Callithrix jacchus: one gene and its partners. The protein of the gene in region 3 interacts with the protein of the main gene of each other region in a pairwise test. Links are inferred from orthologs where the notes say so. Each region holds a gene or a part of one and is shown on either strand. Other genes may lie near its edges. The genes, in order: UNC45A, OIT3, MEOX2, MAPKBP1, SYT17 and CNTNAP2.

Region 1 (3,500 bases), on a different chromosome or scaffold from region 3:
GGTAGCTCTGTGGTTCCTGCTGTCCACCTGGGGAAACGGTTTAGGAATAGAGCTTACCAGGCTTTCTCAGCAGGGCTTGGCCAGTGGGGTCTTTTGCTCCCAGGGAGGAGGGCTGGTGGCTGAGTGGCTGCTCTGTGTGGTGTGGGCACGTTGGCCAGCACCAGTGCAGGTAGCAAGGATGTTCTCCTTGGAGGAGCTGGGGAGGTCCAGTTTGTAAGCTCCCAAAGTCTGGGGCCTGGGGAGCTTCCTGAATTCATCCTGTACCCTAGGGCCCCAGCTGAGGGTGGAATTGGGGGCCTGGGCCTGGGCAGCATTTACCCGAGTGCTGCTCTGGCCCAGGGTGGCCTGCGAATGCCTCTCCATCCTGGCAGTCTGAGGAGAGGTCGGTGCTCTTTGCGGTGGCCTCTGCGCTGGTTAACTGCACCAACAGCTACGACTTTGAGGAGCCTGATCCCAAGATGGTGGAGCTGGCCAAGTATGCCAAGCAGCACGTGCCTGAGCAGCACCCCAAGGTGAGGGGCCGCCAGAGGGGCCAGAGGTTGCCCCGTCATGGGGACCAGTTGACCCAGGGCATCCGCAGTAGACCAGCTTCCCATTTAAGCCAGCTTCTTTCCCTTTGTCTGGCTGTTTCATTGCCCAGTTCCTCAGTTGCTGCTATGAGAAGGTTGTTCCCACTTTCTCTGCAAGTCAGCCCAGGGCCCCCTCCTAAGCTGCCTCCTCCCCCAGGACAAGCCAAGCTTTGTGCGGGCTCGAGTGAAGAAGCTGCTGGCAGCGGGTGTGGTGTCAGCCATGGTATGCATGGTGAAGACTGAGAGCCCTGTGCTGACCAATTCCTGCCGAGAGCTGCTCTCCAGGTGAGCCAGCCTTGGTGGGAGCCAGCCTTGCCCAACTACTGGGCTTCGGGGCTGCGGATGTGGCTCCAGAGGCTGCAGGTTCCAGTGCTGTGGGCCTCTTAGAGTGACAGGGCTGCCTGCCTGGCTGCCTTCCTTGCTGAGTGCAGGAATGGAGCGTCTGCCTGCCAGAGTCCCAGAGCTGCCTGCCCACCACTGCCTTCTCCCCATAGGGTCTTCCTGGCTTTGGTGGAAGAGGTAGAGGACCGAGGCACCGTGGTTGCCCAGGGAGGCGGCAGGGTAAGCTGGTTTACACACCCCTTCCTGCCGGCTGAGCAATCAGCTTATAAAACGTGACTCAGCGGCTGCCACGCCAGAGCTGGGTGTTAGATGTGGGACAGGAAAACATGAGTAATGGCCAGAAGGACATTGTCCCGCTGAGAGAGGGATGTGGAAGCGGGCAGGCTTGTGAATGGCCTGGGCTCTCCTCCTATTCCTTTGTCTCGTTGACCTCCATGGCTCTGGTGCCCAGCACAATCCATGTCCAGCCCTTAGTAGGGGTTTCAGGAAATGTTTGGGTGAGAGGGTCTACACTGGGAGTCCAGCCTGTGAGAGGGAAGAGGGTGAGGGTGACACAGTCAGGGCCTTGGGGCCTGATGGTTTGGGTCTTACACTCCCAGGCACGTCCTGAGCAGTGACGGGCTTGTTACTGCAGGCACTGATCCCACTGGCCCTGGAAGGCACGGATGTGGGGCAGACAAAAGCAGCCCAGGCCCTTGCCAAGCTCACCATCACCTCCAACCCTGAGATGACCTTCCCTGGCGAGCGGGTGTGTATCTTCCTGCTCCGGCCTTTCCACTCCCTCTGTCCCTAGTGGCCTGTGGGCTGGGCTGTAGCTGCCCTTTGGGACCAGCAGGAAGTTTCAGCTTTGCTGAGCCCTGGGTAGGGAGGACAGCCTGAGAGCGGAGCACTCTCTGCGGGTGGGCTCCTCCCCGCCGGGTTGGTGGGGCTGTGGGGGCTGCGGTAGTAGCCCTGACAGGTAGGGTGCACATTGCAGATCTACGAGGTGGTCCGGCCCCTTGTGTCCCTGTTGCACCTGAACTGCTCAGGCCTGCAGAACTTCGAGGCGCTCATGGCCCTAACAAACTTGGCGGGGATCAGCGAGAGGCTCCGGTAAGCCTCCTTGGGATGCGGGGCCTGGGCCAGGTGTCAGGATTTGGAATATCCCAGTCACTGGCTTTTGTGGCCTCAGTGGCTCCTTGGCAATTTTAGAGAGGAGAAGCCAGGCCAAGAGGCACCATGGCATGGCAGGCTCTGGAGGCACATTGCCTCGCTTCCCTGATGCAAATGTGTCACCACAAGCAAGTTACTTCACTGCTCTGCCTCAGTGTCTCCCTCTGGGAAATGGGATGATTATAGCACCTACCTCACGGCATAGTGATGAGGAGAATGAAATGAGAAAATACACTTAAAAGTACTTACTACATAGGTACCTGGCTCCTAGCACTGTGCCATATCAGCATGTTTTAGTTTCATTACTGTGACTTTGAACGTGGGACTCATTACTCAGCCCCTGTTTCCTCTTCTGCAAAGCAGTAGTGATGATGATTACACCTGCACCTTCACCACAGCGCTGTGGTGAGGATTAACTAAGATGATATAGGTGCCTGGTCAGGTCAGTACTCAAATGAGGCCAGGTGCGGCGGCTCACACCTGTAATCTCAGCACTTTGGGAGGCCTAGGTGGGCGGATCACTTGAGGTCGGGAGTTCAAGACCAGCCTGACCAACACGGAGGAATCCCTTCTCTACTAAAAAATACAAAGTTAGCTGGGCATGGTGGTGCATGCCTATAATCCCAGCTAATTGGGAGGCTGAGGCAGGAGGATCACTGGGAGGTGGAGGTTGCTGTGAGCAAAGATGGCGCCATTGCACTCCAGCCTGGGCAACAAGAGCAAAACTCTGTCTCAAAAAAAAAAAAAATGGGTAACAGGCACTGTAGTTCACAGCAAGAGGGTCCTTGGATGTGGCCAAGGAAAATCCTCAGCCCAGGACTTGACTGCATGAGGGTGTGGGTGCGGAGGTGGAGCAGATGTAGGAAGTCTCAATGATGCTGCCTGTGTTCATCTGTTCTCGCATTGCTGTAAAGGAATACCTGACACTGGGTAGTTTCTAAAGAAAAGAGGTTTAATTGGTTCGTGGTTCTACAGGCTGTATAAGCATGGTGTCAGCATTTGCTCACCTTCTGGGGAGGCCTCAGAGAGCTTTTACTCATAGAAGGCGAAGCAGGAGCAGGCACGTAACCTGGTGAAACTAAGGGCAAGAGAGTCGGGGGAGATGCCACACACTTTGAAACAACCAGATCTCATAAGAATTCACTATCGAGAGGACTGTACCAAGCGACGAGGGACCCACCCCATGACCCAGTCACCTCCCACGAGGCTTAGGGTCAAGGTAGAGGGCATAGGGTTTACAGTTCAACATGAGAGTTAGAAGGGACAATACCTGGGCTAGGCGCAGTAGCTCAGGCCTGTAATCCCTGAGAGAGGGTGAGGTGGGCAGATCACCTGAGGTCAGGAGTTTGAGACCAGTCTGGCCAATGTGATGGTGAAACCCCATTTCTTTTTTTTTTTTTTTTTTTTTGAGACGGAGTTTTGCTTGTTACCCAGGCT
Region 2 (3,500 bases), on a different chromosome or scaffold from region 3:
CTCGTTCTTGTTGCCCAGGCTGGAGTGCAGTGGTGCAATCTTGGCTCACTGCAACCTCCACCTCCTGTGTTCAAGTGATTCTTCTGCCTCAGCCTCCTGAGTAGCTGGAATTACAGGTGCCTGCCACCATGCCCTGCTAATTTTTGTTTATTTTTTAGTAGAAACAGGGTTTCACCATGTTGGCCAGTCTGGTCTCAAACTCCTGACCTCAGGTGATCCACCTGCCTTGGACTACCAAAGTGCTGGGATTACAGGCATGAGCCACCGTGCCCAGGCTTCTTCCCCCTTCCCCCCTCCCCCCCTTTAACAGTCTGGCCACTTTTCTGTAGGGCTGCTGTGGTTTATTGGGCGTCTGTTCCAGTCCCTAATTCCCTCATATTTTCCAGTACCTGGAGGTATCACCAGTGAAGGCTGTGAAACAGCAAAGATAGCAGGCTGCCCCTTCCTCTGGAGCTCCATCCCAGCAGAGTACAGACCTGTTGCCAGCCTTAACATACCATTAGGTGGTGGCTGGAAACCCCAGTTGGGAGGTCTCAGCCAGCCAGGAGGAAAAGGACTGGGGACCTACTTAAAGAAGCAGTCTAGCCCTGCTTTCATAGAGTGACTGAACTGTGCTGGAGTACCATTTCCACCCCCCACCCCCACCACCCCTTGTTTCAATCAGGTTGCCCTCTTCAAAGCCTGGAGGCTGAAAGAGCTCAGTTGCTGAAACAGCAAAGATGGTGGTCTCCCTCTTCCTCTGGGAGCTCCATCTCAGTGGGGTACAGAACTGTTGCTGACCTGAACACACCTATAGGAGGTAGCTGGATACTCCAGTTGGGAGATCTCACCCAGCCAGGAGTAAGGATCGAGGACCTGCTTAAAGAAGCAGTATGGCCACTATGCCATGCTGGGGTACTGCTTTCACCCCCAGACAGTTTCCTAGAGCAGCTATACCATGCTGGGTACTAATTTCACCCCCAGAAAGTTTCTTAGAGCAGCTATACCATGCTGGGGTACTGCTTTCACCCCAAGAGAGTTTCCTAGAGCAGCTATACCATGCTGGGGTACTGCCTTCACCCCCAGAGAGTTTCCTAGAGCAGCTATACCATGCTGGGGTACTGCTTTCACCCCCAGACAGTTTCCTAGAGCAGCTATACCATGCTGGGTACTAATTTCACCCCCAGACAGTTTCTTAGAGCAGCTATACCATGCTGGGGTACTGCTTTCACCCCCAGGGAGTTTCTTAGAGCAGCTATACCATGCTGGGTACTAATTTCACCCCCAGACAATTTCTTAGAGCAGCTATACCATGCTGGGGTACTGCTTTTACCCCCAGACAGTTCCCTAGAGCAGCTATACCATGTTGGGTACTGCTTCACCCCCAGTCAGCTCCCCAGAGCAGCTGTACCACGCTGGGGTACTGCTTTCACCCCCAGACAGTTTCCTAGAGCAACTATACCATGCTGGGTACTGTTTTCACCCCCAGACAGCTCCCTAGAGCAGTTATACCATGCTGGAGTACTGCTTTCACCCCCAGTCAGCTCCCCAGAGCAGCTGTACCATGCTGGGGTACTGCTTTCACCCCCAGACAGTTCCCTAGAGCAGCCATACCATGATGGGTACTGCTTTCACCCCCAGACAGTTCCCTAGAGCAGCCATCCCATGATGGGTACTGCTTTCACCCCCAGACAGTTCCCTAGAGCAGCCATACCATGATGGGTACTGCTTTCACCCCCAGACAGTTCCCTAGAGCAGCCATACCATGATGGGTATTGCTTTCACCCCCAGACAGTTCCCTAGAGCAGCCATACCATGATGGGTACTGCTTTCACCCCCAGACAGTTCCCTAGAGCAGCTATACCATGCTGGGGTACTACTTTCACCCCCAGACAGTTTGGACTCCCCACAGGCTAGAATGGCTAAGTTGTCCAAACAGCAAAGATGGCAGTCTGCTCCTCCCTCTGGGCACTTCATCCCAGGAAGAAATCAAAACTCTGTCTGCCAGAGAATATGGGTGGGCAGAGCTGGCTGGAGGCCCCAGTTGGGAGGTCCTGCCCAGAGATAAGGAGGGATCAGGGTCCCACTTAAAGACGCAGTCTGGCTGTGTTTTGGTAGAGCTAAGACTCTTAACAGTCAGGATGGCTTGATAACAAAAGGAGGGCAATAGGAAAAAACAAAACAAAACTTCAGCCTTAGGCAACCAAATCTGTAATGCATTTTGATATAAATAGAAGCTGGTAGAATGTTAAGGTGAGAGGGGAGGGAAAAAACTGTAGAAGTAAATAGACAATCTCTTTCCTCTCCTCACCCTGGCCTGGCTTAGGTGGTGAATGACAAGATCGTGGCCAGCAACCTTGTGACAGGTCTACCCAAGCAGACCCCGGGGAGCAGCGGGGACTTCATCATCCGAACCAGCAAGCTGCTGATCCCGGTGACCTGCGAGTTTCCACGCCTGTACACCATTTCTGAAGGATACGTTCCCAACCTTCGAAACTCCCCGCTGGAAATCATGAGCCGAAATCATGGGATCTTCCCATTCACTCTGGAGATCTTCAAGGACGATGAGTTTGAGGAACCTTACCGGGAAGCTTTGCCCACCCTCAAGCTTCGTGACTCCCTCTACTTTGGCATCGAGCCTCTGGTGCACGTGAGCAGCTTGGAAAGCTTGGTGGAGAGCTGCTTTGCCACCCCCACCTCCAAGATTGACGAGGTCCTGAAATACTACCTCATCCGGGATGGGTAATGCTGCTGCCGGAACCATCTCATCACCCCTAGTTTGTATCCGACTTCTAAGTTCACAGCACACCCAGCCATTTACTAAAACTGCATGGCACAACTGTCAGCCCTCTGCTAGTTCAGGGACCACTTATTGACGTTTTGGAGGTAAAAACCAGTGAGGGAAAGGAGAGTAAAAAATGGCTCCTAGGCCAGGCATGGTGGCTCACACCTGTAATCCTAGCGCTTTGGGAGGCCAAGGTGGGTGGATCACCTGCGGTCAAGAGTTTGAGACCAGCCTGGCCAACATGGTGAAACCCTGTCTCTACTCAAAACACAAAAATTAGCTGGGTGTGGTGGTGGGTGCCTGTAATCCCAGCTACTTGGGAGGCTGAGGCAGGAGACTCGCTTGAACCCGGGAGGTAGAGGTTGCAGTGAGCCAAGATTGCACCACTGCACTCTAGCCTAGGTGACAAGAGCAAAATTCCATCTCAAAAAAAAAAAAAAAAGGCTCCTAGGGGTCTAGCCCATGTGACTGACTAGATCCTATTAACCAAGATGAAAAGATGCGTATAGAAAAGCAGATTTGAGGTAAAAATGCTGAATTTCGTCATTCAAAATGATATATTGAATAAGTTCATTTTTCAGATACCTGCAGGATACCTAGGAAGAGAAGTTCAGTGGGCATTCAGTAGAAATGCATTATCAGCTAGACTAGGTAACATGGTCTGGACTAGAACTGAGGACAGGAAATCATCTGATTCCCTGCAGGATTCCCTGTAGGATTGAGTAACCTGCTCAGA
Region 3 (4,300 bases):
AAAGAAAAGATAGGCTTAAACAGGGGGACTGGAAGAGGAGAGGAAAGGTTCTGCTTTGGGGACACCTCTCAAAGATTAATCAATACTTTTTCCTAATTCAAACCAGATGTCTAGCCCAGTTTGCTGTACCCATTAATCCCATTAACAACTTCAAAGACCTGGTCACCATCCTCTGGACACCTGAGACAATGAAAATAACAGGGCGACACTGCTGGTGGTGCAGTCGGGGCTCCGGGTGGAATAGGTGACTACAGATATTCTCCTGATCCGACACGTCCCAGATCCGACGTGACTGTTCCTCCTGCTCATTAAAGCCCATTCACTTGTGTATAAACGACTGTGCCCCAGCGGATCTTGTCGCTCACCAAGCAAGTGGCAGTATCAAAGCCCTGCCCTCGCTCTCCCATGCTTACTGGAGGCAAGTTATCGAGTTTATTTTCAGGGATGCAAAGATGTAATCAAGCGCCCAAGCTTAGTGAATTCTTAGAGCTATCGAAATTTAAGATTTCTCAGTAAATGGAGCAGTGGTGTTAAGAGACACGATTAGTGGATTTATTTTTGAGCAGAAGAGTGGATTTCTAGAGGGAACTGAAGAGACCTGGGCTAGCTCCGGAGGGGAGAGGCTAGAAATGTGCATGCAAATCTACACATCTCATGTGACTGGGACAAAATCGCTTGGAAATAATTCTTGACCCAGGAAAATTTCTTCTTGGTGGACGAGTGGCTAGGAAATTGAGCGAGACCAGGAAAGCGGGGGGGAGGGAGACTCCACCGGGCATCGCACGTGAGGATGCCAGAGAGCAGGCATCTGCAATTCGCGCTTACCTCCCACCCACCCCACCAGGTCTTCCTTAGGTCTTCCTCTCAGGTCTTTCCGCACTGTGAACCACACTTTCCAGGCCATGGTGCACGTCCCCGAAACCTCAGACCTGGCGTCCCAGCCTCTTAACCACCACCCACAGAAACTAACTGCGAAAACCTAGGCGCGCGGCGGCGCCCTGGGCACGGGAAGATGCGAAGTTTGAAAAACTTCCAGAGTGCGCCAGGCTAGCTCTGATCTTTTCCTTTAACCCTATCACTTCTTTCGTGTTCCTCAAAGGCTAGGCGTATCCCTAGCTTTTCTGCAGGTGACAGTTCCCAAATGACACTGACAAGTTACGTTTTCCCAAGAGAAAAATTAGTAGGTGGGAAACAGGGTGCTGGGTTGGCGCTGGTGCGCGCCGCGCCCTGGCCTCCAGAGTCTGGAGGGCAGAGCCGCTGCCCTCCCGGGCGGGATTTAGACGCTGGCGCGCCGCTTGTAGTCCTGGTAGCTGGCAGGGCTAGGCGGGCGTGGACGCTCTGCGTCTGTCCAGCCGGCGATAGGAAGTGGAACTGGGAGCGCGTGGCGCAGACTGAGCGGGAGTTTTGGAGGGAGTTTGCATGTGGTCAACTCTGGGCTCCTAAGCCAGCCCCCAGCTCACGTTACAGTCTATTTATAACCTCTCAGAGCCATTTCCCCCTGAAGGCAGTTCACTGGGACCACCTTCTTTTGGCTTCAACCTCTCCCACTCTTGACATCTGAGTAGCTCAGGGAAGCTCTTCCAGGTCCGACTGTTCATATGTAAAGGAGACTGGCCGTTAGGGCTCAGGACCGGGATTATCCGAGCTCTGCAGAAGTGCACGGCTATTGCTTTGAGAGGGGTAAAAAACATCACACGGTTTCCAGTGAAAAGTGACAGAGGGTGGTGGCCTTTAGAACCGCCGTGAAGTCTTCTGCCTGGAACCCGAAACTTGCATGCTATGGAACACCCGCTCTTTGGCTGCCTGCGCAGCCCTCACGCCACGGCACAAGGCTTGCACCCGTTCTCCCAATCCTCTCTAGCCCTGCATGGAAGATCTGACCATATGTCTTACCCCGAGCTCTCTACTTCTTCCTCATCTTGCATAATCGCGGGATACCCCAACGAAGAGGGCATGTTTGCCAGCCAGCATCACAGGGGGCACCACCACCACCATCATCACCACCATCACCACCATCAGCAGCAGCAGCACCAGGCTCTGCAAACCAATTGGCACCTCCCGCAGATGTCCTCCCCACCGACTGCGGCTCGGCACAGCCTCTGCCTCCAGCCCGACTCCGGAGGACCCCCAGAGTTGGGGAGCAGCCCGCCTGTCCTGTGTTCCAACTCTTCCAGCTTGGGCTCCAGCACCCCGACCGGGGCCTCGTGCGCGCCAGGGGACTACGGTCGCCAGGCACTGTCACCTGCGGAGGCGGAGAAACGAAGCGGTGGCAAGAGGAAAAGCGACAGCTCAGGTAAGAGAGCGCCAGGCACCCTCGAGAGTGCGCGCCGGCCTGGAAAGGGGGCGGGGAGATGCCAGGGAAGAGTCTGGCCCTGGAGGGTGGCGGCGGGGAAGAGGGGAATGTGTTAAATTCGGCGGTGAAGCTTTGGTCCTGTTATTTGGGGGCACGTGTTTATCCGAGAGCAACACAGCTAGCAGCTCTAAGCTCTCCAAGGTCCTAAACTAGTTTACCAGAAGGTTGATAAAAAAGGACAAGTGGCTGTGAAATCGATTGCGAAGCGTGACCTTCCATCCCAGCGCGGGGGAGGGAGGGGCGTGTGCCCAGGGATGCCGCGTCCGTTGGGCAGGCGTGCGTGCGTGCGGGTGCTGCTTCTTGACTTTTCTCTTGCAAGTTCCCGACTCTGAGTGGCTTGACTTTTCCCATCGTAAACTGGATTTCCAAATTATTGCACAATATTTGGAACTTGCAATGGAACTTGGCAGAGCACATGAGAAAAAAAAAAAAGTTTTAGTTTTTTTTTTTTAAACATTCTTGTTTGAGAGTTCTTTAAATAGCACCCTATTTCAAATGGTAAAAATTTCCCCTTCTTAGGGAAGAAGATATTATCTAGGAATTCAGATTTTAAGGAATGTGTCAGAGAATTGTAAATAAATACATGCTCACGCTGGAAGAAAGACGAACCTTAATATAGTACATGTTCATGTTGTGTAAGTTAATTACAGAATCTAAATTTCAAGAGTGGAAAATAAATCCCTCTACCAAGTTGGTTTTAGCTGCGGCAAATACTGGGTAGCGAACAGCAACTTGGGTAGTGTCAGTTAGCTACGTGCCTGAAGGTCGTATGCAAGGGTGCGCAGGAAGCGCTGATTTCAGTGAGGATAATTTGAGCAGCCACGCAAAAGGGGAATCTTCCTGACCTCTGGTGCTTGAAGGCACAACTTGCAGAGTAAATTGTAGCAATCCAGAGAAACTCAAAGTTTTCCAGACAACTTTTCAAAGCTCTGACCTACTTCTATTATCATAAAATTGTTAAAAGATACTTTAAAATTGAGAGACTTGTGAGTTTTCTTTCGTGGCTATGGTGCACCCTGGCTTCCATCTTTTTGGAAGGTATTATTTGTTTAATATAATATTTGTATATTTTTCTTCCTCTGCGGAACTGGGTTAATAATAGTCCTAGAAGGTAATCCCATATATTGGTTTGAAGGATTGGAATGTTTATGCTTTTTAAAGCTTTAGGTGAGATGTCACATAAATGAAAATGATTGACCGCATGTTTAATATTCCTCTCCCCTTCGCAGCAATATCAATCGTTCTTCAGCGTTAGTATGGGATAGATTCTTCTGTCAGAAGAATAAAATAACTTTTATTTTCCAAGGATAGGGGATGAACTTTTAATGTTCAATCACAAATTAGTTTTTATAAGAAAGTTAGCAGTGGTGTCACTGATATTTACTGTATTTTCCTAACTATAAGTGAAACTCCCTTTAGATAGTGGAAGGTTAATCGTTGTAAGAAGGTTTCAATTTTTATTAGAAAAACCGTCGATTTTAGAATGCAGTGACAATTTTATAAACTGAACATTCGATATCAGTGTAACTTTTGAAAGAGATCCCAGTTCAGGCTGATGAGAGTACTCTTGCAATTCCCATAAGCCCTTACTGTTCATTTTATTTTTCTGCAATGAGAAACCTACATGATAGCCTTATGCTTCCGGAACTGAGCCACTGCCCTTAAGTTTCTTAGGGCAAACAATTTTCATGCAAGCACATGTTATTTTGTTTGGGGGAAACCAAGAAAATGGAATTCAATAACTGATTTCCTTAATTTATTTTAATAAAACTTTTTTTTTTAAAAAGGAATAATTTAATAACATTTGTCTCTTCCCCCAACTGTGTGGGAAATAGCCATTTAACAAAATTAAGTTCATTTCTACATGTTGAAGCTGATAATGAGGGTAATGGAAAAACAAACAAATATAAGTGTTTGTGTCAGCTGAATAAATTATGAATAAATTAA
Region 4 (3,500 bases), on a different chromosome or scaffold from region 3:
TATTGGAAACAGTATAAACAGTCTCAGTGATGCAGGAAGGGTTGTAATGATAAATAGGGCTAGAGGGTGACTTTTGAGTGAGGCGGGAAGCCCCTTTGGGATGCCTCTGTGAGTCACTCTCAGACTTTACCTGGTCTCAAAGAAAAACATTCAAAGGCCCAGGGTCTCTAGTTGGACCTCCTGTGTCCTGCTCCCTGTCTGTGCTGCCCCATGCGTGGCTCATCCCATTGGGGGATGGAGAGTGGTAGGAGGTAGATCCTGTGGGAATCCTGGGCTCTCTGTGGTAGCAGCAGGCCCGGACCTGTGTCAGGAAGGGGATGTTGAAGGCTTGGCCCTTCCTGGGCAGTGGGCCCAGCACCTGGCGCGGGTACTCCACCACATGACTCCCCCAGGTTGAGGCCTGGATGTACTGAGGCCTTACACCCTCCCAGTGAGAGTGAGCAGCCGCTCTGCACCCGCAGGTGCTGAGTTGCAGGACTCAGCTGGTTGGACCAACCCAGCCCTTGGCATGTGGTGAAATCCCAGGAAGCACTGTAGGAAGGGCTTGCCCAGCTGGGCAGGGTCAGGGGATGTGGAGGGAAAGACTGATACAAACCGGGCCCCGCCCTCCTCTCCCTCGCTGACCTAGGAGCTTGCTCAGAGTTCACCAAGAAGGCTGAGAAGGCTCCTTGCTGCTTTTGAGAACAGGTTGGATCTCAACAAGCCAGGCACACAGGGAACCTTGGCCATGCTGCTCTCACTTCAGCATCTTTGTTACCATCCCTGCATATGGAACTTTGACCATGGAATCAGAACCTGATTCCATCCAGCAGCCTTGCTGCCTGGTGGGAGAGGTTGCCCTGGCCTTCTCTGCGAGGTGGGCAGAGTCCTTGATTGTCTGCTTCTGGCAGTCGGGGGGGTTATTCTCAGGTCTCTTGGGGCCAGGGATTCTCAGGGTGGGGCCCAGGACCTCCATGGCACTGTAAGGTTTTCCCGGGCCTTTCAGGCTCTCTCTTGCTCTCTTTCTCTTTCTCATGTTGGATGGCTTCCAAATAAAAATACTCCCTTAAGCGATGACCTCTATGTGGTTCCTTTTCTTGCTTAGCTCTTCTCTGCCACACCTGAGAATTTCTTAGGCTATACTGGGGCCAGGCGGTGTATTAGAGGACGGAGAGATCGCCTCATTGCCTCTAGCCAGCCATCCTTCTGTCTATATAGAAGCACACTCCATCCCCCTCTTCCTTCCACCGTGGAGCTGAACATAGGAGGAGGAGACAAGATGTCGTGTCACAGGAAGACTGAGTTTGAATGCAGTGACATGAAAAGTGTTTTAAGCAGTCCGATGCACTGCCCTTTAAAGGCCAAAATCCTGCTTTGGGATGAGAATTAAGGCAAAACTCCTAAGATTGCACATAGAGCCAAGTTTTTCTGGATTTGGAATATGGTTGACTGGATTATGCATCAAGTCAATTCAATTAGATCAACTCTCAGCTGAAGACCTCTACCATGGTTCCTGTGTAACGAATCCAAAAGCCAAGGAACTCGTACCCATTCAGACTAGAAGCCTTTGCTGGAGAGACGTGCCTGCAGAGGGTCTCAGGTCAGCACAGATTGGAAGAAGGTTCAGAAAACATTGGTTAACCCCTGAGAACTTTCTGAGCTCTGAATTCACGATGGTGGCGGGCCTGGGGGTATTACTTTTTATACATGGCATAAAGTATTAAAATCTAAATAAATCTGGCTGGGCGTAGTGGCACATACGTCTAATCTCAACATTTTGGGAGGCCAAGATGGGTGGATTACCTGAGGTCAGGAGTTCAAGAAAAGTCTGACCAATATGGTGAAACCCCGTCTCTACTAAAAATACAAAAAAAGGAGCCAGACTTGGTGATGGATGCCTGTAATCCCCGCCACTCGGGTGGCTGAAACAGGAGAATTGCTTGAACCTGGGAGGTGAAGGTTGCAGTGAGCTGAGATTGAGCCACTGCACTTCAGCCTGGGTGGACAGAATGAGACCCTGTCTCCAAAAAAAAAGGAAGGGCTGAGTAGGGTGGCATGGGCCTGTAATCCCAGCTACTTGGGAGGATGAGGCAGGAGGATTGCTTGAGCCCAGGAGTTCAAGACCAGCCTGGGCAACACAGTGAGACTTTGTCTCAAAAAAACAAAACCAAAAAGAGAGAAAGGAAAAAGGAAACAGGAACAAGGAAAGAGTAGGAAATGGAGAAAGGAGAAATAAAATAGTGAGGAGGAGTGGCGGATTTGAGGAGAAAATGATGTGGCGCAGAAATTCCACAGCTGTTGGTCAGCCTGGCAGTTCTGGGCATATCCGGTCACATTGGAGGTCCCAGTGTCCCAGAATTTGCATATTGAAGTGGTTTATTGAGCCCAAGATGCTTAGCATTCACTAGCAGCTTGCACCTACCTCCCTTCACGGTTCCAGCCGGTAGTGGTGTTCAGATACAGGGGCTGCAGTGAGGTCCCACTCGGGAAAGTCAGGCCTGGGGAAGTAGCTGTCTGCCCTTTCCCTCCTCCCTGCCTTTCCTAATCGCAGCCTCTAGGCTTGCTCCTGTCTGCTAGTTCAGTGCTAATGAAGAGGTGAGGCGGGCAAGGGGTAATGGGCCAGGGCCTGCTGACGGCCAAGAAGCCTGAGGAGAAGCTGCCTGGCTATTGGCCTTTGGCTTCTTGCCCCTGATTCCTACTACCCAGCTTCTGTCTCCGGAGCTGCCTCTGGAAAGGCAGGACTGATTCCATCCAGCAGCCTTGCTGCCTGATGGGAGAGGTTGCCCCACCTTCTCTGCGAGGTGGACAGAGTCCTTGATTATCTGCTTCTGGCAGTCAGGGTAGCTCTTCTCAGGTTTCTTGGAGCCAGGGATTTTCAAGGTGGGGCCTGGGACCTCCGTGGCACTGTAAGGCTATCCTGGGCCTTCTCAGGCTCTCTCTCTCTCCCCCTACCCTATCTGACTGAGCCTCTCTGCTGTGTGGCCCCATGCCTGGCCTCCCACTTCCTTCCTCACTCAACACATGGAGGGTGTGGGGGGCCAGCTCTTGCCAAGTACACACATGGGTGCAAACAAGAGGCCTTACATCTTAAGGCACACATGCTTGATAGACATACATGTGGCCCCAAGCCTGCATACAGGCTGTATACCTGAGGCCTGCTTTGCCCAAATACATTTCTTCTTCCCTCCTATACCCCTTCCTGAGGTATGCACAAGGGCTGTGGGATGGCCTGTGTCCCTGCTACCCTTTGTGGGTATGACCAGAGAAAGAGCTGGTATTTAGGGACCTGGTAGTGGGGACAGGTTTCCAGGGAGCCCTTTCACCCTTGTGGGCCTACAGAGATAGGCTGTCTTGGATGGGGAAAAGGAGAAAGAACAGTTTGCCAGAAGAAAGCAGTGGAGGCTGGGTGTGGTGGCTTGTGCTGTAATCCCAGCACGTTGGGAGGCAGATCCCTTGAGCTCAAGAGTTCAAGATTAGCCTGGGCAACGTGGCAAGATCTTCTCTCTACAAAAAATACAAAA
Region 5 (3,500 bases), on a different chromosome or scaffold from region 3:
CCATGTCAAGGACTTAGTTTAAAATATTCAGCTAAAATGTTTTGCAAGTCAGGATATAGGCGAAACACCATGTGGCAAAATGTCAATAATTGTTACAGACTTTTGATGGATAGATGGAGATTTGTTATGCTAGTTTATTATTTTGTATATAGTTGAAATTTTCTACAATATGTTTATTTTTGGTAAGGGACAGAGAAGTAGGAGGTCTCCTGTTTTCTAGGTATTTTTGGCAGTATAGAGTCATGTGCTTAGGTGTTCCTGTGAATTTTCCACAGTGTGATAGAGTTGACATCAAGGGGATGGGTGCTCTTCAACAAGGGATGTCACCGTGCTGAGTGTTGCTATGGTGTGGTTAGAAGTGTGGAGTCTATTGGAGATTAGAGGTTAAGAACAGATTTTTTCACTCAGATAGTTCCTCTGCAGGGCATTCTACCTCCCAGGTATCCCATGCAGTCAGAGTATCTGGGATCAAATCAGCCTCCCTGGGTCTAAGTACCAGCTCTACCACTTTCTTGCTGTGGCTTTGGACATGTTATTTAATCCCACGAGCCTCAGTTTCCTCATCTGTTAAACAGAGTTAATACTTCATTAGAAGGTTAGTCATTACACGTGAAGCACTTAGCGTAGTACATGGCAGTGTAACATGCATTTATTTTTTATTATTGCTGCTTTTGTTGTTATTGTTGTTGCTGTTGATTGACCTAAGAGTGGAAAAAACTCAGAGATAGATGAACCACAGTAATTGGAGGCAGAATTGAAAAGAAGTCATATACAGAGACACTTCTGTCCACCGAAGCACTCACAGCAACCCATTTGTGAGCTGCTGCGGTCAATTTCCTGCATGGTGGCTGCAAAAGGAATAAGAGGAGAAAGCAACTTCCTGACTACTTCCTTTCTCTGCAGAATGAAGTGGAGCTAGGGGAGCTGCTTCTGTCACTGAATTATCTCCCAAGTGCTGGCAGACTGAATGTTGATGTCATCCGAGCCAAGCAACTTCTTCAAACAGATGTGAGCCAAGGTTCAGGTACCGTGTGATTCCCTCCTTCTCTCTCTTTATTAGTGAGGCATCTATGTTTGTGTGGGGGACCTAATTTTCTTTTTCTGCATCCTGAATGAACATTATTCATCTCAGGATGAGGCAGGTAAATGATGCCACCTTAGTAACCCTACTGGAATTGGGGAGTTGACTGAGACCAGTTGTAATAACTACAGGAAACCTACCTCTTTGAACCCAAGGAAGTGACTTGGCCTTTCCAAATGCTATTCCTACAATAAAGACGCCATCCTGCAGGTGGTGATAGTGTACATTGACTATGCTTCTCACCCCGCTACCTCCCCAGCTGAAGTCTTACTCTGTCTCCCAGGCTGGAGTGCAGTGGTGTGATCTCGGCTCACTGCAACCTTCGCCTCCCAGGTTCAAGTGATGTTCCTGCCTCAACCTCCAGAGCAACTGGGACTACAGGCGTGTGCTACCATGCCCAGCGAATTTTTGTAATTTTAGTAGAGAGAGGGTTTCACCATATTGGCTAGGCTGGTCTCGAACTCCTAACCTCATGATCTTCCCGCCTCAGCCTCCCAAAGTGCTGAGATTACAGGCGTGAGCCACCGTGTCCAGCCAACTATGCATTCTAAGCAGTGAGTGTAGAGGACACACCCTGAGGGTTTTTTCCCCCAGCTCATTTCATGTGTACCATAAATCTTCATGAATTCCAGCTCTGAAAAGACTTGTATTTAAAGTATATACATTATAGCAAAAACCATTCAAACATGACTTTTAATGGAAGGGAACAGATTCCATTCCATCTGTCTGTTGCTTCTCCCATGACAGCAAAGGACATTACTGTGAAAGCACCTGTAATCACAGGGATCTCTTCAGCTCAGTGGTAGAATTATTGTCTTCTCTAAGTGCAATAGCTAAAATAAATTACTTTTGCAATAAGGTGACAGCTAGAAGACAATCTGCATTCTCAAAAACCATATTATAAAAACAGAGGCTTAGAAAGGGCCATTGGAGGCAATGGTTTTAAGACTGAAGAGTTTCAGACTCACTGCAATGGGAGAGGCAGTATGATCAAATCATTAAGGGTTGAGGAGTCAAATGATGTGGCTTGCAAATGATGTGGCTTTGGGTAAGTTACTTAACCTCTATATGCCTCAATTTCTCAGTCTCAAAAATTGACATAATAACAGTATTCATCTTGATAAGTTGTTTAAACAAATATTAAATTAGATAATGTACATGAATCCCTTTGTAAAATGTAAAATGATCTAAAGATGAATTATAATTCTGCCATCTCTATTCTCCTGTATATGGGCTATGGGCTCACTGAAATGATAATGGGTTTCCACAAACAGAAAGCCAGGGCAGGCTCTGAGTCTGGTTCTGTCTCTACCAGCAAGATCTTTAAGAAATGATTTCTCACCTTGAGTTCTCAGTTTTTTCTCATCTGTAAGATGAACACAATGCTGACACATGGCAGGAGCTCAACAAATATTAGATGGCTAAAGGAAAAAGGAAAGGGATAAACAGATAAGCAGATGGATGAAAATGATGGTTAGATAATAGATGGATAGATGGTTGAATTGTCAAATAGAGGGGAAACTAGACGGATAGAAATGAATAGATAAAAGAATGGTGAGATGATGAATGGATCAGTGAACTGATGGATGGGAAGATGGACGGATGGACAGCTGGATGAACGGATGGACTGAGATGAATGAAAAGTTGAATTAGTGGATGATAGAAGAATGGATGAATGAAAAGATGGATGGATGGATGGGAGGTTGAATGGATCAATGACTGGACAAATTAGATTTCATGATTTCTAACATTTTATGATGCTGTATCTAATTTTCAGACCCCTTTGTGAAAATCCAGTTGGTGCATGGACTCAAACTTGTGAAAACCAAGAAGACATCCTTCTTAAGAGGCACAATTGATCCTTTCTACAATGAATCCTTCAGCTTCAAAGTTCCCCAAGAAGAACTGGAAAATGCCAGCTTAGTGTTTACAGGTAGGTAGCATTCCAAAACCTGATGAACTCCAGGTAAGACTTGTTCAACTTACTGTCCTGGAGACAGAAGACATCTAGAGAGAGTTATATTTAAGAACTTAATGTCTGCTGTTCAACTACATGGGGTTGATGCCATTTAACATCTATGAACTTGGGCAGGACTTATACAGCCCTATAATATAATTGTTAGAAATGTGGACTTGAGCCACATTTCCTCATACTGCCACACAATAACTGAGGTCTTTGGCAAGTTACTTAACTCCCCTGAGCTTCAGTTTCCTCATCTATAAAATGGGAACAATATATATAATGGTACTTGTGGCTTAGGTTTGCTGTGAATAGTAAATGGCTTATGACTTTGGAATATACTTGGTACATAATAAGTACTCACTTTGTGTTTGTGTTGATGATGATGGTGGTGATGATTCAAGTTTCCTGCAGTCAAATAAGAGAAGCATATGAGAAAACAGGGTCACCTAACTCAGA
Region 6 (3,500 bases), about 58 Mb from region 3:
CTGATATTTCAGTGAAATTGACTCAGCACTCATTCTACCTCCTCTTCCCCCACGCACTCATTCCCTCATTATGTGCTGACTCCAGAGTCAGCACCATTACTCTGGAAGGATCTTTAATTTTGTTAGGGAGACAATCCCCTCAACAATGGTATGTGGTCAGTTATAAAATCTCAGTTATTATGCATAGGCAGTTCTTTTCATCAGTTTTAAAATAATCATCTGTGATGGTACAGAGCAAATTTAATTTGAATATTAATTCAGGGAGACAGCCTGCCTTAGATTTATTGGTTAATGTGCTTAAATGGAAGAAATCAGTATCTGGTATATATATATGTGGTGGTGTAAAAAATATAGAGAGAAAAAGAAAAAGATAGAGAGATAGACCCAATGAAATATTATCCAATTACATTCCTTAAAATATTATTATAGGATAAAAGAAATTAGAAGCAAATACAGATTTTTAGATCTGTAAAGAGATGTTAGGCACTAAAATATAAAATTTAGTGTATCTGAATGCTAAATCAATGTGAATTGTTCTTGCTTATATCAAGAAGGAGGAGTATGGATAGGGAAGGACAAGCCTGAATTATTAGAAGTTTTGTTTCCATTTTGCCCATTTATACTGCTAGTTCCACAGGAATGAATGCCTTGTGATACAAGCACATTTCATGGGAATTTAAATGGGATTTTGAGTTGGTAATAGAATAATCTGCAATAACCACAATTACATTAACACTAAAAACAATATTTATCTATCTATGCATATATAAGGTATATAAATAAAAATACATAAGGTGTATAGATAAAAATCCAAGAATATTTTTTCTAAAATACCGGTTTCACAAATAGCAAACATATGATCATAGTCCGTACTGAGACCAGAGTAATATGTTAATTAATGTTAGCATTGACTACTCAGAATAGGGCAGAGCATCTCTCTCCCTGACTTGTGTTCGGCCAGCAGCAACTTTGTTGTCTTCAGAAAGTCTAGTGATCCACACTGATGCCCACAACACACATACACACTTTACAACTCGTGGTCAGCTTATCTCAACAGGCTGTCAGGCTGTCAGTCCCGGGGTGGAAGCTGCTTGTTATAGTTAGACAGCCACTGCTGTTCAATGTTAGGCCTCACACTCCAAGTAGATTCATGTTGGTGCTTCCAGTCACTGAATCCATGCCCTGCAGCTGGGTGTGAGTTTAGCTCAGGCTCAGGCTCTGCTTCAAAACTTACAGAACTCTACCTTCATCAGTGGTCTTACGTGGACATTTATTTTATTCTGTGTCTTCCTGAGAGCATGCCTTTCTATTTTATAGGGAAATTTGAGCTTCTCTTGTGTGGAACCCTATACGGTGCCTGTCTTTTTCAATGCTACAAGTTATCTGGAGGTGCCCGGACGGCTTAACCAGGACCTGTTCTCAGTCAGTTTCCAGTTTAGGACGTGGAACCCCAATGGTCTCCTGGTCTTCAGTCACTTTGCAGATAATCTGGGCAATGTGGAGATTGACCTCACTGAAAGCAAAGTGGGTGTTCACATCAACATCACACAGACCAAGATGAGCCAAATAGACATTTCCTCAGGTCAGTGAAACCTATTTGACATTTGTTCCTGAAACTGCTATTGCAATTTCCAAAGCTAATGTTTTGTTTTGTTTTGCTGGTGTTACGTGCTGAGGATTAGGTTGTAATTCAGATCTTCAAGACACGTAGTTGTACTATGTGCTAACTGAGTAAGGAAAACTTGGAAGTTGCTGAGAGGGCAAGGCAAGAGTGAGGGAGAAAGCTGGTTGAGATTGGAAAAGCAAAATACATTCCTTACCAATGCTAGCTTATATTTAATAGAAAAATTGCTGTTCTTTTAAGAGATTAATTTATATTTAAACACAAAGAATTTTTGTTAAAAAAATACACAGTTGTATCTGGTATCTTTTGACTTTATGAACATTCAAGTACTTTTTACTTATAGTAACAAGATTATACTAATTACAACTTTAAGGAATATTCCACTGCTGGAATCAACTTCAGAATGATCTTGCTAAAATTATGCTTATGTTTGGAAAGAAAACAAAAGTGAATACAAAGCAGAATGACAAGATTTGTATACGAACTGAAGGAAGACTGGCTTACCAAAAATAGGATAATTTAAAATTTGGCTTTGTAGTGACATGACAAGTGGAAGCTTAGGTGGTATTCTTTCTATTTGAATAGACTTAGCAACCTTGGAATGTTCTTTGATAAATATGGTCCAAAGAAAGGTGATATTTTAAATCGAGATGTTACAAGCAAAGAAAAAATAGTCACAATATTGGAATGATAGATAGTAACTGTTTTCATCTATTTTTCTTGAGATATTCTTTGTAATAGTCGTGTGTGTGTGTGTCTGTGTGTGTGTGTGTGTGAAGAACTACTTACAAATGGGAGATGCAAAGAAAACTAACATTTACTGAACACTTAGTACAGAAGTAGCAAATACTGAAAGAGGTCATGACGGAGAGCTCAATTGGATGACGATGGACTCTGTTTTCTGAATATGCCAGAAACACTCATGACACCCTACGCATACACCGGACATGTTTTCAGTCACACCGTGATTTGTGTTCCACTCATTTCCTCTCTAGGCTGCATGCTCCTTGAGAGCAGGGGCCATGCTCCTTCTTCTTCTGTCTTTAGCATATAGAATAGTACGTATAAGAGGTACTCTAGAATATTTGTTGAGTTCAATACTCTGACCCTTTAAACTAACAGAATACCCCTTGCTATAGAGCATACATTTTCTTGTAAAATAGGCTTTATGTTTGTGTATGGCCTGAATGTATGGTCTATTGCTGAAAAGGATGCAAGGAAGACATAAGAACTGTTATGTCACAGATGTGCCGAAATTATTAAAATCTAAAGCTATCGGGAAATACCTAGATATTCACTTTCTCCATTTCTCTTTATTAGTTCTGCTTTTTCCTTGAATGTCCATGGTTGATAAAATCAACCATATTTTCTCACTATAGTATTTTATAAATATACCTAGGGAGATTTGCAGCAAATAGAAAATATCTGGACAGACCAGAAAAACAGATAAAACTAAAACAAAACAAATGTTTACCACAGTTGAAAAACTCCCACATTACATTCCGTTATGATTAATGATTATTTTCTAATGACTAAACATATAAAAATATTAGTATGGAGGCCTCTCTCCTTGCATTCTCTGAGCAAATGCAATTTGTCTTTAGGTTTCTGTGTAACAGGAGCCAATATATTTAAAACAATAAGATCTGAAACCTAGTGGTCAATAAACATGTATTAGTTTGATTTTGCTAAATTTTAGTACTCCAAGATACTCTCATCTAATTTAAGCTGTTTTTATTTTGAAAATTAAAGATAGAATGAACAAAGGAAACCAATATGTGACAATTAATTCACCTTAATATAGTTGCTTAAATATAATAAAAGTGAACTGAAGCATTTTTTATCAATTTACCCAAGAATCTGTGCAAATTAATTG

What was found.
Region 1: the proteins of MEOX2 (region 3) and UNC45A interact in binary tests that used the Homo sapiens proteins (3 or more experiments, as listed by UniProt). The two-hybrid records come from large-scale screens. The link is inferred for Callithrix jacchus from reciprocal best matches to the Homo sapiens genes MEOX2 and UNC45A.
Region 2: the proteins of MEOX2 (region 3) and OIT3 interact in binary tests that used the Homo sapiens proteins (3 or more experiments, as listed by UniProt). The two-hybrid records come from large-scale screens. The link is inferred for Callithrix jacchus from reciprocal best matches to the Homo sapiens genes MEOX2 and OIT3.
Region 4: the proteins of MEOX2 (region 3) and MAPKBP1 interact in binary tests that used the Homo sapiens proteins (3 or more experiments, as listed by UniProt). The two-hybrid records come from large-scale screens. The link is inferred for Callithrix jacchus from reciprocal best matches to the Homo sapiens genes MEOX2 and MAPKBP1.
Region 5: the proteins of MEOX2 (region 3) and SYT17 interact in binary tests that used the Homo sapiens proteins (3 or more experiments, as listed by UniProt). The two-hybrid records come from large-scale screens. The link is inferred for Callithrix jacchus from reciprocal best matches to the Homo sapiens genes MEOX2 and SYT17.
Region 6: the proteins of MEOX2 (region 3) and CNTNAP2 interact in binary tests that used the Homo sapiens proteins (3 or more experiments, as listed by UniProt). The link is inferred for Callithrix jacchus from reciprocal best matches to the Homo sapiens genes MEOX2 and CNTNAP2.

What each region holds. Positions count from the first base shown.
Region 1 is NC_133507.1:19,486,719-19,490,218, reverse strand, and holds part of UNC45A (protein unc-45 homolog A), read left to right. Parts: coding exon 1-1; intron 2-371; coding exon 372-512; intron 513-726; coding exon 727-854; intron 855-1,063; coding exon 1,064-1,130; intron 1,131-1,545; coding exon 1,546-1,659; intron 1,660-1,887; coding exon 1,888-2,003; intron 2,004-3,500.
Region 2 is NC_133513.1:57,217,724-57,221,223, reverse strand, and holds part of OIT3 (oncoprotein-induced transcript 3 protein), read left to right. Parts: intron 1-2,305; coding exon 2,306-2,721; exon of another isoform or gene 2,722-2,756; intron 2,757-3,500.
Region 3 is NC_133512.1:42,792,488-42,796,787, forward strand, and holds the start of MEOX2 (homeobox protein MOX-2), read left to right. Parts: upstream 1-1,500; 5' UTR 1,501-1,779; coding exon 1,780-2,293; exon of another isoform or gene 2,294-2,334; intron 2,335-4,300. UniProt on the Homo sapiens protein: Mesodermal transcription factor that plays a key role in somitogenesis and somitogenesis and limb muscle differentiation. Required during limb development for normal appendicular muscle formation and for the normal regulation of myogenic genes.
Region 4 is NC_133509.1:44,794,599-44,798,098, reverse strand, and holds part of MAPKBP1 (mitogen-activated protein kinase-binding protein 1), read left to right. Parts: intron 1-1,084; 5' UTR 1,085-1,358; coding exon 1,359-1,579; intron 1,580-3,500. UniProt on the Homo sapiens protein: Negative regulator of NOD2 function. It down-regulates NOD2-induced processes such as activation of NF-kappa-B signaling, IL8 secretion and antibacterial response. Involved in JNK signaling pathway.
Region 5 is NC_133513.1:20,686,639-20,690,138, forward strand, and holds part of SYT17 (synaptotagmin-17), read left to right. Parts: intron 1-903; coding exon 904-1,024; intron 1,025-2,858; coding exon 2,859-3,014; intron 3,015-3,500. UniProt on the Homo sapiens protein: Plays a role in dendrite formation by melanocytes.
Region 6 is NC_133512.1:100,642,493-100,645,992, reverse strand, and holds part of CNTNAP2 (contactin-associated protein-like 2), read left to right. Parts: intron 1-1,317; coding exon 1,318-1,582; intron 1,583-3,500. UniProt on the Homo sapiens protein: Required for gap junction formation. Required, with CNTNAP1, for radial and longitudinal organization of myelinated axons.